Macaca fascicularis: one gene and its partner. The main gene of each other region encodes a partner of the protein of the gene in region 2 in a complex. Links are inferred from orthologs where the notes say so. Each region holds a gene or a part of one and is shown on either strand. Other genes may lie near its edges.

Region 1 (7,732 bases), on a different chromosome or scaffold from region 2:
GAAAAATTAGCCAGGTGTGGTGGCACACACCTGTAATCCCAGCGACTCAGGAGGCTGAGGCAGAATTGCTTGAACCTGGGAGGCAGAGATTGCAATGAGACAAGATCACACCATTGCACTCCAGCCTGGCTGTGTCTCAACAAAAAAAAAAAAAGAAAGAAAATTGAAGTCCTTTGGCAGTATGGTTTCAGTAGAAAGGCATTCATTATCTGATGATTTTTAAATCTGTTTGTTAGTTTGTTTGTTTATTTATTTATTTGAGATGGGATCTCACTGTTGCCCAGGCTGGAGTGCAGTGACATGATCTCGGCTCACTGGAACCTTCACCTCCTGGGTTCAAGCGATCCTGCTGCCTCAGCTTCCCAAGTAGCTGGGATTACAGGCATGAGCCACCATACCTGGCTAATTTTTTTTTTCAGATGCAGTTTCGCTCTCATTGCCCAGGCTGGAGTGCAATGGTGCAGTCTCGGCTCACCACAACCTCTGCCTCCCAGGTTCAAGCGATTCTTCTGCCTCAGCCTCCCATGTACCTGGGATTACAGGCATACACCACCACGCCCAGCTAATATTGTGTTTTTAATAGAGATAGCGTTTCTCCATGTTGCTCAGGGCTGGTCTCGAACTCCTGACCTCAGGTGATCCGCCTGTTTCAGTCTCCCAAAGTGCTAGAATTACAAGCGTGAGTCATTGCTCCTGGCCCTGGCTCATTTTTTGTATTTTTAGTAGAGACGCAGTTTCACAATGTTGGCCAGGCTGGTCTCGAGCTCCGGACCTCAAGTGATACCTGCCTTGGCCTCCCAAAGTGCTGGGATTACAGGTGTGAGCCACTGCACCTGGCCCATAAATCTGTTTATTTTGCCCATAGGTTCCATATAATTTTCATAACCACTAGTTGAGGTCTGCCAAACATGTAAATCAGAACTGATAATGCCTTACTTTAAGCTAATTATTACCCTATGTAACTCTACCTCTTGCTATTTATTCCTTCTAACATTTATTGAAAATCTACCATATACCATGCTTTTGCTACTACATTATGTGCAGTACTTCTGATAAAAGCCCCTATCTTTTCACTTTCTTTCTTTTTTTTTTAAATACAGGGTCTTGCTCTTTTGCCCAGACTAGAGTGCACTGGTGCAGTCCCTACTTACTGCAGCCTTGACCTCCAGCTCATGCGATCCTCCTACCTCAGACTCCTGAGTAGCCTATAGTCCCAGCCAATCAGGAGGTACACACCACATGCCACCATGCCTGGCTAGCTTTTATTTTTATTTTTTGTACAGACAGAGTCTCACCATGTTGCCCAGGCTGGTCTTGAACTCCTGGGCTCGAGCAGTTTACCTACCTCAATCTCCCAAAGTGCTGAGATTACAGGCATCAGCCACCACACCCAATCTAATTATCTTTTTAACCAGACAAAACAATGGTACTCTATAAGAATCATAAAATTTTATTATTAAAAATAGCAGCCGGACATGGTGGATCACTCCTGTAGTTCCAGCGCTTTGGGAGGCCATGGCAGGCAGATCACTTGAGGTCAGGAGTTCAAGAACAGCCTGGCCAACATGGTAAAACCTCGTCTCTACTATAAATACTAAAATTAACTGGGCATGGTGGCAGGCGCCTGTAATCCCAGCTACTCGGGAGGCCGAGGCAGGAGAATTGCTTGACCCCAGGAGGCAGAGGTTGCAGTGAGCCAAGACTGCACCACTGCACTCTAGCCTGGGTGACAGAGCGAGACTCCATCTCAAAAAAAAAAAAAAATTAGTCCTTCCCTTGCATTTATTTTATACATAAGGAAAGCCCAGAAGGGTTAAGTGAACTGTTCCAAGTCACACAACTTGTTAACATGTAGTGATGGTTTATTGTGAATTATAGTCAATATCTTCTCTTCCATGAGTGCCCTTTTCATTATAACATTCCATCTTATAGAATAACAGATTTTTGCCAGGCACGGTGGCTCACACCTGTAATCCCAGCACTTTGGGAGGCTTAGGCAGTAAGATCACTTGAGCCCAGGAGTTGAAGAGCAGCCTAGGCAACATAGCGAGACTCCGTATCTATCAAAAATTTAAAAGATTAGCTAGGCATGGGTTCCTTAATCCCACCTATTCAGGAGGCTGAGGCAGGAGAATTGCTCGAGCCCAGGAGTTCAATGCTGTAGTGAGCTATGTTCACACCACTGTACTCCAGCCTGGATGGCAGAGGGAGACCCTGTCTCTAAAAGAAAGAGAGATCTTTCTATTATGGATCCTATTTCTTAAAAGTTGACTTAGTCCATTTCATAATACCCTTGCCTCATTTTAAAATTCTATTGAAAATGTTTTTGGTTTGTTTTATTTTGTTTTTGAGACAGAGTCTCACATTGTCGCCCAGGCTGTAGTACAGTGTTGCGGTCTCGGCTCACTGCAACCTCCGCCTTCTGGGTTCAAGCAATTCTCCTGCCTCAGCCTCTCAAGTAGCTGGGACTACAAGCACACACCACCACGCCTGGCTAATTTTTTGTATTTTTAGTAGAGACGGGGTTTCGCCATGTTACCCAGGCTGGTCCCAAACTCCTGAGCTCAGATAATCTACCCACTTCGGCTTCCCTAAACGCTGGGATTACAGGCATGAGCCACTGTGCCTGGCCTCATATGTTTTAAACTCATATCCAGTCATCTTACAGGGTTGGCTCCATAAAGGAGACAGTTTAATTTTCCTTAGAATTAGCATATTCTGGCTGGGTATGGTAGTTCGCACCTGTAATCCCAGCACTTTGGGAGGCTGAGGTAGGCAGATTGCTTGAGCCCAGGAGTTCGAGACCAACCTGGGCAATGTAACAAGACCCTGTCTCTACAAAAAAATACAAAAATTAGCCAGGCATGGAGGTGCATGCCTGTAGTACCAGCTGCTTGGGAGGCTGAGGTGGGAGGATTGCTTGAGCCCAGGAGGTTGAGGCTGCAGTGAGCCGTGATAGCACTACTACACTCCAACCTGGGTGACAGAGAAAGACCCTGTCTCAAAAAAAAAAAAAAAAATTATATTCTACAGTGGCATACCTGTAGTCCCAGTTACTGTGGGGGCCAGCTGGGACTAGCTAGTAAGACCTCATCTCTTAAAAAAAAAGAAAAATTATCATATTCCAACCAGAGTTAGGTATGGACCTTGTTCCCTGACCTGTTAATAGAGATGTAAAGCTTCAGTAAGTCTGACACCCAGAGGGTATCTCCATTATTCTAAATATAGTGATTGTTGGGCTAGGTGTCATGGCACGCGCCTATATTCCCAGCTATTCGGGAGGCTAGGGCGGGAGGATTACTTGAGCCCAGGAGTGAGGCTGCAGTGAGCTGTGATCGTGCCACTGCACTCCAACCTTGGCAACAGAGCAAGACTCTGTCTCTAAAAACAATAAATAAATAAAAATAAAAAGATATAGTGATAGCTCTAGTTAAGACTCATATTCCGTTGATGTTATCTTCCTTTTTCTTTCTTTCTTCAGGATCTACAGTCTTTGCAGAAATTCAGGGGGTCATTGATGCTTGCATTAAACTATCTGGAATGCCCGATCTCTCCCTTTCTTTCATGGTAAGTTTTATTCTCCTGTTTTATAGCCCCTTGAATGCCTAATACATGTGAAGTACTAAATGAAATGATAAATATTGAGATAAGTTTGCATCTTAGATTGCAAAGGATTGTCTCAGAAATATTCCTAGCAGAGTTTCCTAAGACAGGCACTTACATGATGAGCGTGGTCTTTATGGAAAGGCTAAGGGAGGTCTTTGCCTGAGTGTGCTAGAAAGGGCTTAAAATTGGCTGGCTGGCTTCTGCAAATATCCAGTATCATTTTTACTGAGTAATTATTTGCTTTGCTGATATGAAAGGACATTGGTCTTTTGTATCATTTTAGAGTCAGCATGACATACTGCTAGGAACAATTAAGAGAACTGACTTCTGGTGTTGTCACCAGTTTGTTCTGACCTTAAGTCCTCTGAACCTCAGTTTTTTAATCTGTTAAAGGGAAATAATACTACTTGCCTTTTCTCCTTTATGGTTATTGAAATTCAATAAAATAATGTACATAAAATATTTACAAACTTTAAAGCATTGTGAAACTATAAGGTTGTGTAGATGTGGTCATAAACTCTTCCATGACTGCTTTATCTTCAGGGAACATATTGATTTGTCAAGGTATCTAAGTACAGTTCCCATATTCATTATGCTCTATGAACACGGCTGTCTTCTGTTTTCTTGACAGAACCCTAGGCTTCTGGATGACGTCAGCTTCCACCCCTGCATCCGGTTCAAGCGTTGGGAATCTGAAAGAGTTTTGTCATTTATTCCTCCAGATGGAAATTTCCGACTCATATCATACCGTGTCAGCTCACAAAAGTATGTTGATGCATCAGCCAGAATCTGCCATCATACATATCAAGCAGAACTCACCTTTCCCTGTTCCTTTATGACAGTTGAGTACTTGAGGTCGTCATTGCTCACTTTAACCATAGCTCACCGGGAGACCCAGTGAGAACTGGTGAAAATACGCACCTAAAATATCAGTATACTTTGAATGTATGAGTGTAGAGTGGTACTAAGTGAGACTAGAGTAAAATCTATAGCCAAGGGCAAGCAAACCATGCATAACCTGGGCAAAAGGTTTTGGTACTGGTTCTTTGCAAGGTTACGCATTGTCAAATTATGGCGCTGGTTCTTTGCTCAGGTTATGCACGGTCCATTTTGCTCTGCTTCTGACAGCTGAGTACTTTGCAAGCAGAGCAAAATGGACTGTGCATAACCTGGGCAAAACCATGAACCACTGCCATAATCTTACCATAGTCTGTAGACTTTGTGGCTAACAAGGAGACAGACCTACCTGTAGTTCGTGAGGACATTCCCAAACTTACCTGCTTCAAGTCAGTCTTCTCTGCTTCGAGGTTTTAAGGAACTGTTTAGCATTGAGAGCCGGGTGCAGTGGTTCACTCCTGTAATCCCAACACTTTGGGAGGCCAGTGTGGGCAGATCACTTGAGGTCAGGAGTTCTAGACCAGTCTGGTCAACGTGGTGAAACCTTGTCTCTACTAAAAATACAAAATTAGCCAGGCGTGATAGCGTGTGCCTATAATCTCAACTACTTGGGAGGCTGAGGCATGAGAATCACTTGAACCTGGAAGGCAGAGGTTGCAGTGACAGATCATGCCACTGCACTCCAGCCTGGCCAAGAGGGTGAAATTGCATCTCAAAAAAATAAAAAAAAATTTAGCATTGGGGATCGTAGTTTTATAGCTAGTTTGTTTCTTGAAAATACCAGAAGTTATTTGAGTAACATTATGACAGGACTCAAAAGCAGACAAATTATTTCTTGGCTCTTTTTTTCTTTGAACCGGAGTTCGGCTCTTGTTGCTCAGACTGGAGTGCAGTGGTGAAATTTTGGCTTACCTCAACCTCCACCTCTAGGGTTCAAGTGATTCTCTGCCTCAGCCTCCCAAGTAGCTGGGATTACATGCATGTACCACCACGCCCGGCTAATTTTGTGTTTTTAGTAGAGACAGGGTTTCTCCATGTTGGTCAGGCTGGTCTCGAACTCCCGACCTTGGGTGATCCGCCCACCTCAGCCTCCCAAAGTCCTGGGATTACAGGCGTGAGCCACCGCACCCAGCCTGTTTCTTGACTCATCACATAGGAACTGTTTTCATTTATATAAAACATATTTTACATTATTTTTCAGTGGGATCGTAATTCATTTTTTTAAACTAGGGCCATTTGCCCCAATTGTTTTTTTTTTGTTTGTTTGTTTTATGTTTTTTTGGTTTTTTTGTTTGTTTGTTTTGAGACGGAGTTTCACTGTTGTCGCCCAGGCTGGAGTACAATTCTGTGATCTTGGCTTATGGCAACCTCTACCTCCTGGGTTCAAGTGATTCTTCTGCCTCAGCCTCCCAAGTAGCTGGGATTACAGGCGCCCGCCACCGCGCCCAGCTAATTTTTGTTTCTTGTTACTTTTTTTAGTAGAGAGGGGGTTTCACCATGTTGGCCAGGCTGATCTCAAACTCCTGACCTCCAGTGATCTGCCTGCCTTGGCCTCCCAAAGTGCCAGGATTACAGGCATGAGCCACTGCACCCAGCCACCCCCAATTGTTTATACTGTTATTAAACTTCAGATTTCTGTCTTGATTTGTATACAGTTCCCAGCACAGTGGTACCAGAACATTATGCTATACTCAGCTCCCCCTTGTGTAGATGCTGAATCTGCAGTTCTGGAGGTACCGCCATCTTGGTATCCTTGGAGGATTGGTTGCAAAAATCAGCAGATGCTCAAGTCCCTTATATAAAATGGTGTAGTATTTGCATATAACCTATGCACATCCTCCTGGGTACTTAAAATCATCTCCAAGTTACTTGTGATAGTACACTGTAAACACTGTGTAAATAATTGTTATACCAGGTTGACTTTTTATTTTTATTATATTTTGTAGTTGTATTGTTATTTTTTTTTTTTTCTTTTTTTTTTTTGAGATGGAATCTCGCTCCGTTGCCCAGGCTGGAGTGCAGAGGCGCAATCTCAGCTCACTGCAATCTCCACTTCCCAGGTTCAAGTAATTCTCCTGCCTCAGCCTTCTGAGTAGCTGGGACTACAGGCACAAGCCACCACACCCAGCTAATTTTTGTATTTTTAGTAGAGACGAGGTTTCACCATGTTGGCCAGGCTGGTCTTGAACTCCTCACCTCAGCCTCCCAAAGTACTGGGATTACAAGTGTGAGCCACCACACCCAGCCTCAGCTAATTTTTGTATTTTTGTAGAGATGAGGTTTCACTATGTTGGCCAGGCTGGTCTCAAACTCCTGACCTCAGGTGATCCCCTCCCACCGCCGGTCTCGGCCTCCCAAAGTGCCGGGATTACAGGCATGAGCCACCACGCCTGGCCGATAGTGTTAAATAATATTTTCAGTCCTCAACTGGTCAAATTCAAGGATGCATAACTGTGGCTACAGAGAGCCAACTCTGTAGCACCTTATTGTGGAGTTAAAGGTACAGTAGGATACTCTGGACAGAGGTTTTCAGGATACCTCTGATGCTTTCCCCACACCATTAATTGTGTTTATGCTTTTGTATCTTTCTCTGTTTCTCTTTTTAGTCTAGTGGCAATACCAGTGTATGTGAAACATAGTATCAGCTTTAAAGAGAACAGTTCTTGTGGCAGATTTGATATAACAATTGGACCAAAGCAGAATATGGGGAAAACTATTGAAGGAATTACAGTGACAGTTCACATGCCAAAAGTTGTGCTGAACATGAACCTGACAACCACACAAGGCAGCTATACATTTGATCCAGTCACCAAGGTACAGCCACTTCAAATCAAGAGTGAGCAAGTGTTTCTGCAATCTATTTTGTGATTTGTGGGGAGGAATGGAGGGAAAGGTTTAGCACCTTGTTTAAAACTAAAGTTCGTATCAAAACCTAGAGAGTATACTGTGCTGTGCTTCTGCCACTGGCTGCCAAAGGAATCCTGCAGCTGCTACTGAGCAGATGAACAGAAAAGTGTGTCATTCTGTCCTTTTTCAGAATGTGCCTTCACTCATCCATTATTAATCCAGAGCCTCTGCTATCTAATAAGAAAGAAGTAAAAGCTTTTTTAAAAAGAGAAAACATTATGTAGAAGAAGATATTATGATGGTATATGAATTATTAAGTTTTCTATATAAATTGATCATTAAGACCTTTTTCTTCCTTTTTAATTTAAAAGCATCATTTCAT
Region 2 (7,732 bases):
CTAAAGTCAATATTTTTCTTAAGCATATTTCTGAATTTAATATTGAAATCTTTAAGAGGCTAATAAATATAATTAGTATTTATTGTGTCAGCCACACTTGAACATAATAGGCCGGGCGTGGTGGCTCACGCCTATAATCCCAGCACTTTGGGAGGTCAAGGCAGGCAGATCACCTGAGGTCAGGAGTTCAAGACCAGCCTGGCCAACATAGTGAAACCCCGTCTCTACTAAAAATATAAAAATTAACCGGGCGTGATGGTACGTTCTTGTGGTCCCGGCTACTTGGGAGGCTAAGGCAGGACAGTCACTTAAACCTGGGAGGCAGAGGTTGCAGTGCGCCGAGATCGTGACACTACTCCAGCCTGGGCAACAAAGTGAGACTCCATCTCAAAAAAAAAAAAAAAAAAATTGCCCAAAATATTTTAAGTTCCCTCCTCTCCGGAAACTTACATTCTACCAGGGATAGACCAACAGTTAAAAAAACAAGTAGATTGTATACTATGTTAAAAAGTAATACATGCTGTGATTAAAAACAACAACAACAACAACAACCACAACAAAAAACGTGGCGGGGAATGGTGTTGGAAGTGCCAAGAGCTAGGGTGAAGGCCCTAAACTGAGAGCATGCCTGGGACATTTGGAGGAGCAGTAAGGCATGGCCAGAGCATATCAGGCAAGAGGGTGAGCAGCAAGAGGTCAGAGAGGCAGGCAACAGGGGGACAGTCATGGAGGGGCAGTCATGAAAGGATGGTTGGGTCAGGCTATGCAGACTGTTGTAGGGACTTCGGCTTTTTCTCTGAGTAAAATGAGGAGCCACTGCAGGGTTTCAGGCCAAAAAGGAGCTTGATCTGATTTAGGTTTTAATAGAATCATTCTAGATGCTGTGTTTTGCAAAGTTTGTTTGCTGGGGGCAGGGTGGAGGGGCAGTAGAAGCATAGTCTAGGAGAGAACGATGGGTCAGACCAGGGTAGCTGTAGTATTTCTTGATGGCTGAGGTGTTTAGAATATGAGAAAAAGAGAGAAGTAAAGGATTACTCCAGGATTTAGGCTGTTGAGATGGTCAGGGCAATTTATTGCCTACACTAAATTTTCTTTTTTTCTTTTTTTTCTCTCTTTTCCTTCAGTGTCAAGCTATGAACTTGTGTTTGTTATTGCTGTTACTGTATCTGCTTCTAGTTTTGCTCACCTATTTTAGGATATACTACTTTTGTTTAAATCTTCTGTGGGCCAACAAACACAAAAGTTTTAAAGATTGTATATTTGAAATAAGATTGTTGGTTTAACATAGGGGCTCTGAGTGAGAGTTTGTGCTGCTGTATTTAGGAGTAAAGTAAATCAGCCTTAATGCCAGGACTTCTAACAGTTGCATTCTCTGTTGAGGCCATAAGCTTGCTTTTGAATTTGGTTATGTTCTTGATGATTAAGTTTGCCAGAACTCTAAATCTCTGAATGAGAATTCATTTATATTTACTTTATTTGTTTAAACAGGCAAAAGAATGGACCCCAGCGGGAAAAGCAAAACAAGAGAATTCTGCTAAGAAGTTTTATTCTGAATCTGAGGAAGAGGAGGACTCTTCTGATAGTAGCAGTGACAGTGGTGGGTTTTATAATTTATTGGCATGTATTTTTACATAGTAGATTACATTCTATATCTCAGAAACAAGGCCTAATCTATAATATTCAGCAGGTGGTTTTAAGTGAAGTTTGTATTATCAAAATAATCCCTTTCATTTATATATCGCTGTTTACTTTTCAAGGTAATTTTTAATTACTAAATTCTCTTTTTACTTTACAATGTCTCTTGGACAATAGCTAATACATTGGTATAGCTGAAACAGGAACTCATACTTTTCTGAATTCTAAACCATAATGCCTATTATATCTATTGGAAAACATGATTTTATACTTGATAAACTTTTAGTGGAGTCTTTAAAAGTAACTTTCTTTTATAAAAATGTAAAGTTTATTTTATACCTTGAAGAGTCTTTTTCTCTTTCATTTTATACTCATCTCTTTCTGTGAACCTCTATAGAGATAAAGCTAAAATTATTAAGTCTCTATATACTATAAAAAAATCAAACTAAAGATTGAGAGTAACTGTATGCAGTGAAAAGAATGCTGAATAGGAAGGATTTAGAAACCCTGGGTTTTACCTATGCAAATTGAAGAAGGCACCTACTTTTCTCTATATCAGATAAATGAAGGGGTAGAGTTAAATATTTCTTAAAGTCCCTTCATTGCTAAAATTCTGTGAGTGATTTGCCTAATGAAAACTATATTGGAGTCACTTTCTGATGCTCTTATTAACACTTAACCTAATAGGCAAGTCTGCCCCAAGACCAAGTGATACCCAACTTTCTCTAAAATCTTATACCTTGGAGAACCAGGGCCTGTCACTCTTACTTGGTTATCTACTACCCAACTCTAAGGTAATTCACTCTCTTTTCTCTGTGTTCCTTATCAAAAATCTTTGTTTTTAATATCTGATAAATTAATCTGTGATACATTACCTTCTGAAGTAATCAACTGAAAAGTAGAGAAATAATTGAGAAAGTAGATATTAAAAAATATGGAATTTCAGGAGTAATGTAGACCTGTGAGAATTATCTGTGTAATTAATCATGTACTTCTTCATTTTGTAGAATTACATATAGATATTTGTCTACATTATATTTATTCACTAGCCCATGCCTATTCATAGGCTGACCATTTTTAATACATACACGAAATATTCCATTAACATTACAGCTTTTCATGAGTTTGTCTGAATACATGTAATAATGAGTCATGTGGCAGGAGTTCTACTGTAGCTGCCAGAGGAAAAAAGAAAACTTTTCTTGCTAGAAGTTATGAGATTGGCTGGGCGTGGTGGCTCATGCCTGTAATCCCAGCACTTTGGGAGGCTGAGACAGGCAGATCACAAGGTCAGGAGATTGAGACCATACTGGCTAACACGGTGAAACCCCGTCTCTACTAAAAATACAAAAAATTAGCTGGGCGTGGTGGCACGTGCCTGTAATCCCAGCTACTCAGGAGACTGAGGCAGGAGAATGGTGTGAACCCAGGAGGCGGAGGTTACAGTGAGCCGTGATCACACCACTACACTCCAGCCTGGGCAACAGAGCAAGACTCCATCTCAAAAAACAAACAAAAATGTTATAAGATTGTGTTTTCCAGGTAGCAAGTATTTTTGAGAATAAACTAATTTTCTCTAAGATTTTACTGACTCGAAAATTTAAATAATGGTGCCTGAAGTCAGCTGGCCCCAGATTCGTGTTGCAGTCCCATGTGATGACATGAGAGAGTAACTTAGATGCTGTAATTTCTTTTCATCGTTTATAGCATAAGCCAGTTATCTGACTTAATATGTATGTGTGTGTAACTTGGATATTGCCACAAATTTAAAATGTCCTTATTTAGTAGCTTTATTTTAGTAAAATAAACTTTCCTGTTTGTAAATGATGATAATGATGAGCACCTTAACCTGTGGCAGACCCTGTTGTGTTCTAATCACCTTTATATGTTTCAAATCATTTAATCTTCAGAACAACTCTGAAAAGTAACTAGTATTATCCCCATTTGCCGAAAAGGAAACCAAGACCCAGAGAAGTTGAATAACTTGATCAGTTTTACAACTGGCAGGTAGCAGAGCCAGGATCTGAATGCGAACACTAACTTGATAACCCATGCTTGTACCCCTTGCAAGCCATCTTGAAAGAATACAGGCACTCCTAGCTTTTCACTGTGATGGACCTTCCTGATGTTGGTGTTATTTAACCATTAGAATGTTTAATTAAAGGTTGTGTTCCTGCCTAAGAGGGCTTCGTTACGTAGATCACAGGCAGGGCAACAGTTTGTCCTTTTGTCTAGGACACAACTCTGTAGTTGTAGTCATTTTAAATAGTAAAAAATACACATATATTTTTCATGTGTTCTCTTCTGCAGAGAGTCCTAGCATACCATAATTTATACATAAAACATTTAAAAGTATAATTCCTCAATGTAACTTGATCATCTCTTTGACCTATGGAAAACTCCTTTACTAGCTCGAATAAGTAATAACTCTTTAATTAGTCATTTGCCTATTGTCTTTGAATTTGGAAGTTTTTCCAGGTGATTTGAATGGCTCATTTTCCTCTCAAAATTTGTTCCTAAGAAGATTAAACTGTTGCCTTCTTTTACTCTAAATAGAATTTCCCATTACAAGCAGAAGAATTTAAAATTATTTCTTTAGCCTTACATCAATCTTTATGTAATTCTTTAAAAGAAAGTTTTTGACAAAGCTATATACTTTGGGGTTTGAAAAGTGAGATTCCCTCAAATTTGGTTTACTTGGTTCATCTTTGCTTAGCTTTTCTCTACTCATTGTCAGAGCATCCTCTCTCTGTCTGCCTCCCTCCAAACTCACCGTGCTAAAGGAATCCATAGAGCTGAAAGAATGGGGTATGGGAATGAAATGTTAAACACGTGGTGTCCACTGAACTAAAATTCAACATCTGGTTTCATTTGAGATGAATATTGACAGTTACAGGTGTCCGTGTGTCTAATTAAATGACTATAAATCTAAGAACATCTGGTTCTGTTTTTCAGAGAGTGAATCTGGAAGTGAAAGTGGAGAGCAAGGCGAAAGTGGGGAGGAAGGAGACAGCAATGAGGACAGCAGTGAGGACTCCTCCAGTGAGCAGGACAGTGAGAGTGGAAGGGAGTCAGGCCTAGAAAACAAAAGAACAGCCAAGAGGAACTCAAAAGCCAAAGGAAAAAGGTAATGTATTTTGTCAGAATTTCCTTCAAAAAATATTCTGTGAAAGTTTGCCCCAGGCAGATGTTTCTTGTTAATCAAAAAATGATGAGAGAAAAGAAGTGTGTATTTTTTCCCAAACAGATATTAAATCTTTTTAAAATTAAAGTGCTAGTTCACATTATTTTCCTACTTGTAATGCTTAGCTTTCATTTTGAACTTGAACATATCTTGGGGTTACATTTTGAAAATTGGTATAACCTTGGAAGGCTGAGTTAAGTGATCAAGCAATAGGTATGAAACACTTAATTACCTTTTGTAGCAATTTTGCTGAGGGCTAAAATTAAATCCTTCAACACTTTGCCATTATGTAACCAAGACAATTGATTTTTCTAAATAATGTTATATTAAAAAGATTATGATCCAAATATTAGAGTCAAGGGCTGTGAAGGAAGACGGTCATAAGAGCTTTAAGTGTTAGCACTTTTTAAGATCTCCCATTATCAACAACATTATCATGTATTAAAGTGTCATTAAAATTTTGAGTAATTGGGGCTAATATCTTGGATTGTGCAACTCTGTTTTCCCCACTGCTGTCAGTGAGTGGCCTCTGCCGACATGATGGTCCTTTCCCCAGGAGCCTGCTGCCCGCTCACTTGATGAGCTTGCAGCTCGGCTCAGTCGTGGCTGACAGCACTGATTGGGGCGCAGTACGCTCTCTGCTCCTTTTATTACAGACAGTAATTAAAGCAGCTCGCCCTGCCACTTCCATAACAAACACAGCATAATGCCCTAATTATGACTTTATTAATTTAAGTCAGGATTTAATGATTTTAAAAGTGATTTATATTGTTTTTCCTGTTCAGAACAAATGAAATCTGTAGGTTAAATTAATACAGGCTTTTCATCATTGCAAAGTTAGAAACCTAGTTACCAGTAAATTCTTTTCATTAGATTAACATCTGAAACTCTAAGCAGTAAGGTAAACAATAATTACCATCAAAATTGAGTGATGCATAATAAAATAACACTTTTACTTTTAAAATCTTATCTTAAAAGCTGGAAGTTAAATATATTTAGAATCATTCACTTGTTGCAGCAAAGGAGCTACTTGGTTTATAATAGCCTTGTCTTTGAGAGAAATCCTGTACTTCTGGTTTAATATCAGAATATCTATGATGATATGAGTTATAAAACATGTCTTGTTTCTAGAAAGGGAAAGTTTTGTTCAGTGCATGAAATGTCCTTTCAGATGGCAGAAGTCAGTATACTAGAAATTTGTAGTCATGTATTAGTTTTATTATTCCTTTCTTCAGAAATAGATTTTTCTCTTTACCCACATTTGAATTTAAAAGAATTGTTTATTACAAAGAGAACCACAAATACATTCTAAACCTTATATTTTTAAGTACACATTTTAACCAGTGAATTGGGGATAATAAATTGCCGTTTTTTTGCCAGGGAAAAACAACAACATATTTTTCAGTCTTCAAATATAATTACATGTGCTCTGAGATGTTGCCATGGCTCCATTTTTAATAAACAGCAATCATATTTCCTCTACAAAAATCAATTCTAGGAAATATCGATTCTTTCCTTGCCTCACTCCTCTCCCTCCCCCAGTATTTTTCTGCCTCTTAGAATGTTTTTTTAACTTTGCTAGTATGATAATTTTTTAAAGCTCTTAATAAGCTTTAAGCATCTTCAAAAACCACCCTTTAGTAATCATAAATATTTATGACCGAATTTAAATTTTACACTCCAAAGTGTTTTCATTTGAAGGGAGATAGTATGACATAGTGGAAAAAATACGGACTTTGGAGTGAGACAGGCTTGAGTTCAGATTCTAGTTCTGCCCCTCTTGTTATGTGTCCCTGAGCAAGTTATTTAACCTTTCTGAATATTAATTTCATTATTGTAAATGGGATAATAATGTACCCAGGAAGAGTGCATTTAAATTAGGTAATCAGTATGATTGGTATGAAATGCCTAGCCCTTTCTGGCCCACAGTAGATTCTTAAAAATATACACACACATGTTGTAGAGAGAACTAGACTTTTAGTTTCCAGGAAAATATAAAACACCACAAGGCATCTCTCATCCCCTGAGATAAGGGTGTTTGGTCATCTCACATGTTATTCCTTCTCCTTGGAGAGCTGCTTCCCTGCCCATCTGCCAGCCTTACTCCTATATCTTGGCTTATATGTCTCTTTCTCCAGGAAGCATTCCTAATTGGATTAAGTTTGTTTAGGTGTCTCTCCAAATGTTCTCCTGACACACTATAATTTATTACTTACTATACTGTATTATCACTGCCACCTTATCTATATCCTCCAGTGGACTGTAGACTCTGTAGGGTAGACACACATAGATCCTCTTAACCATTGTTATCCTTAGCACCTAACATAATGCCAACATGTAGTCAAAAATTAATTAATATTTGTTGAGCAGATGAACAAATGAACAAATGAATGGTGTTAAGCACTTAGGTATGATCATTTGGTAATTTAAAAGTTTATATTTGATTAGCTTAAATTTGTAGCAAGATAGTACTTTAGAAGTTCCTTTGTTAACCAGAAACACATTTCTCATAGAATGTGTTTAAGGTCACATTTGAGAACTTGTAGTAAGTAATTTTCTTGGGTAGAAAAGTGTATAAAATACAAGTCTATTTTAGCAAAAGTAGATATATAAATATTTAAATATATTACTAAACCGGGTGTGGTGGCTCAAGCGTGTAATCCCAACATTTTGGTAGGCCGAGTTGGGAGGATTACTTGAGCCCAGGAGTTCCAGACCAGCCTAGGCAATATCGTGAGACCCTGTCTCTACAAAAAATATAAAATTAGCTGGATGTGGTAGTGCCCGCCTGTAGTCCCAACTACTTGTGAGGCTGAAGTGGGAGAATCGCTTGAGCCTGGGAGATCGAGGCTGCAGTGAGCCATGATTGCACCACTGTACTCCAGCCTAGATGACAATGAGACCCTGTCTCCA

Evidence for each region. The genes of interacting proteins can lie anywhere in the genome.
Region 1: the proteins of AP3B1 (region 2) and AP3M1 are in contact, whole or in part, in a cryo-EM structure (PDB 9C5A), measured with the Homo sapiens proteins. The link is inferred for Macaca fascicularis from reciprocal best matches to the Homo sapiens genes AP3B1 and AP3M1. Residues at the interface, in NP_003655.3 of Homo sapiens: Leu60, Lys64, Val67, Gly68, Ile70, Ala71, Lys72, Gly73, Ile92, Glu93, Lys96, Leu97, Val100, Arg104, Glu107, Asn128, Gln129, Leu130, Arg137, Arg143, Ser163, Pro164, Tyr165, Lys168, Asn169, His172, Gln175, Lys176, Leu202, Ser206; in NP_001307192.1 of Homo sapiens: Met1, Phe15, Leu16, Glu17, Trp20, Lys21, Ser22, Val23, Gln26, Val42, Glu43, Asn44, Val45, Pro46, Pro47, Val48, Ser50, Tyr55, Ser58, Ile59, Tyr60, Gln71, Thr72, Glu73, Val74, Pro75, Pro76, Leu77, Phe78, Ile80.

What each region holds. Positions count from the first base shown.
Region 1 is NC_088383.1:72,308,716-72,316,447, forward strand, and holds part of AP3M1 (AP-3 complex subunit mu-1), read left to right. Parts: intron 1-3,481; coding exon 3,482-3,567; intron 3,568-4,237; coding exon 4,238-4,371; intron 4,372-7,109; coding exon 7,110-7,317; exon of another isoform or gene 7,318-7,339; intron 7,340-7,732. UniProt on the Homo sapiens protein: Part of the AP-3 complex, an adaptor-related complex which is not clathrin-associated. The complex is associated with the Golgi region as well as more peripheral structures.
Region 2 is NC_088380.1:82,073,454-82,081,185, reverse strand, and holds part of AP3B1 (AP-3 complex subunit beta-1), read left to right. Parts: intron 1-1,488; coding exon 1,489-1,597; intron 1,598-4,590; coding exon 4,591-4,762; intron 4,763-7,732. UniProt on the Homo sapiens protein: Subunit of non-clathrin- and clathrin-associated adaptor protein complex 3 (AP-3) that plays a role in protein sorting in the late-Golgi/trans-Golgi network (TGN) and/or endosomes.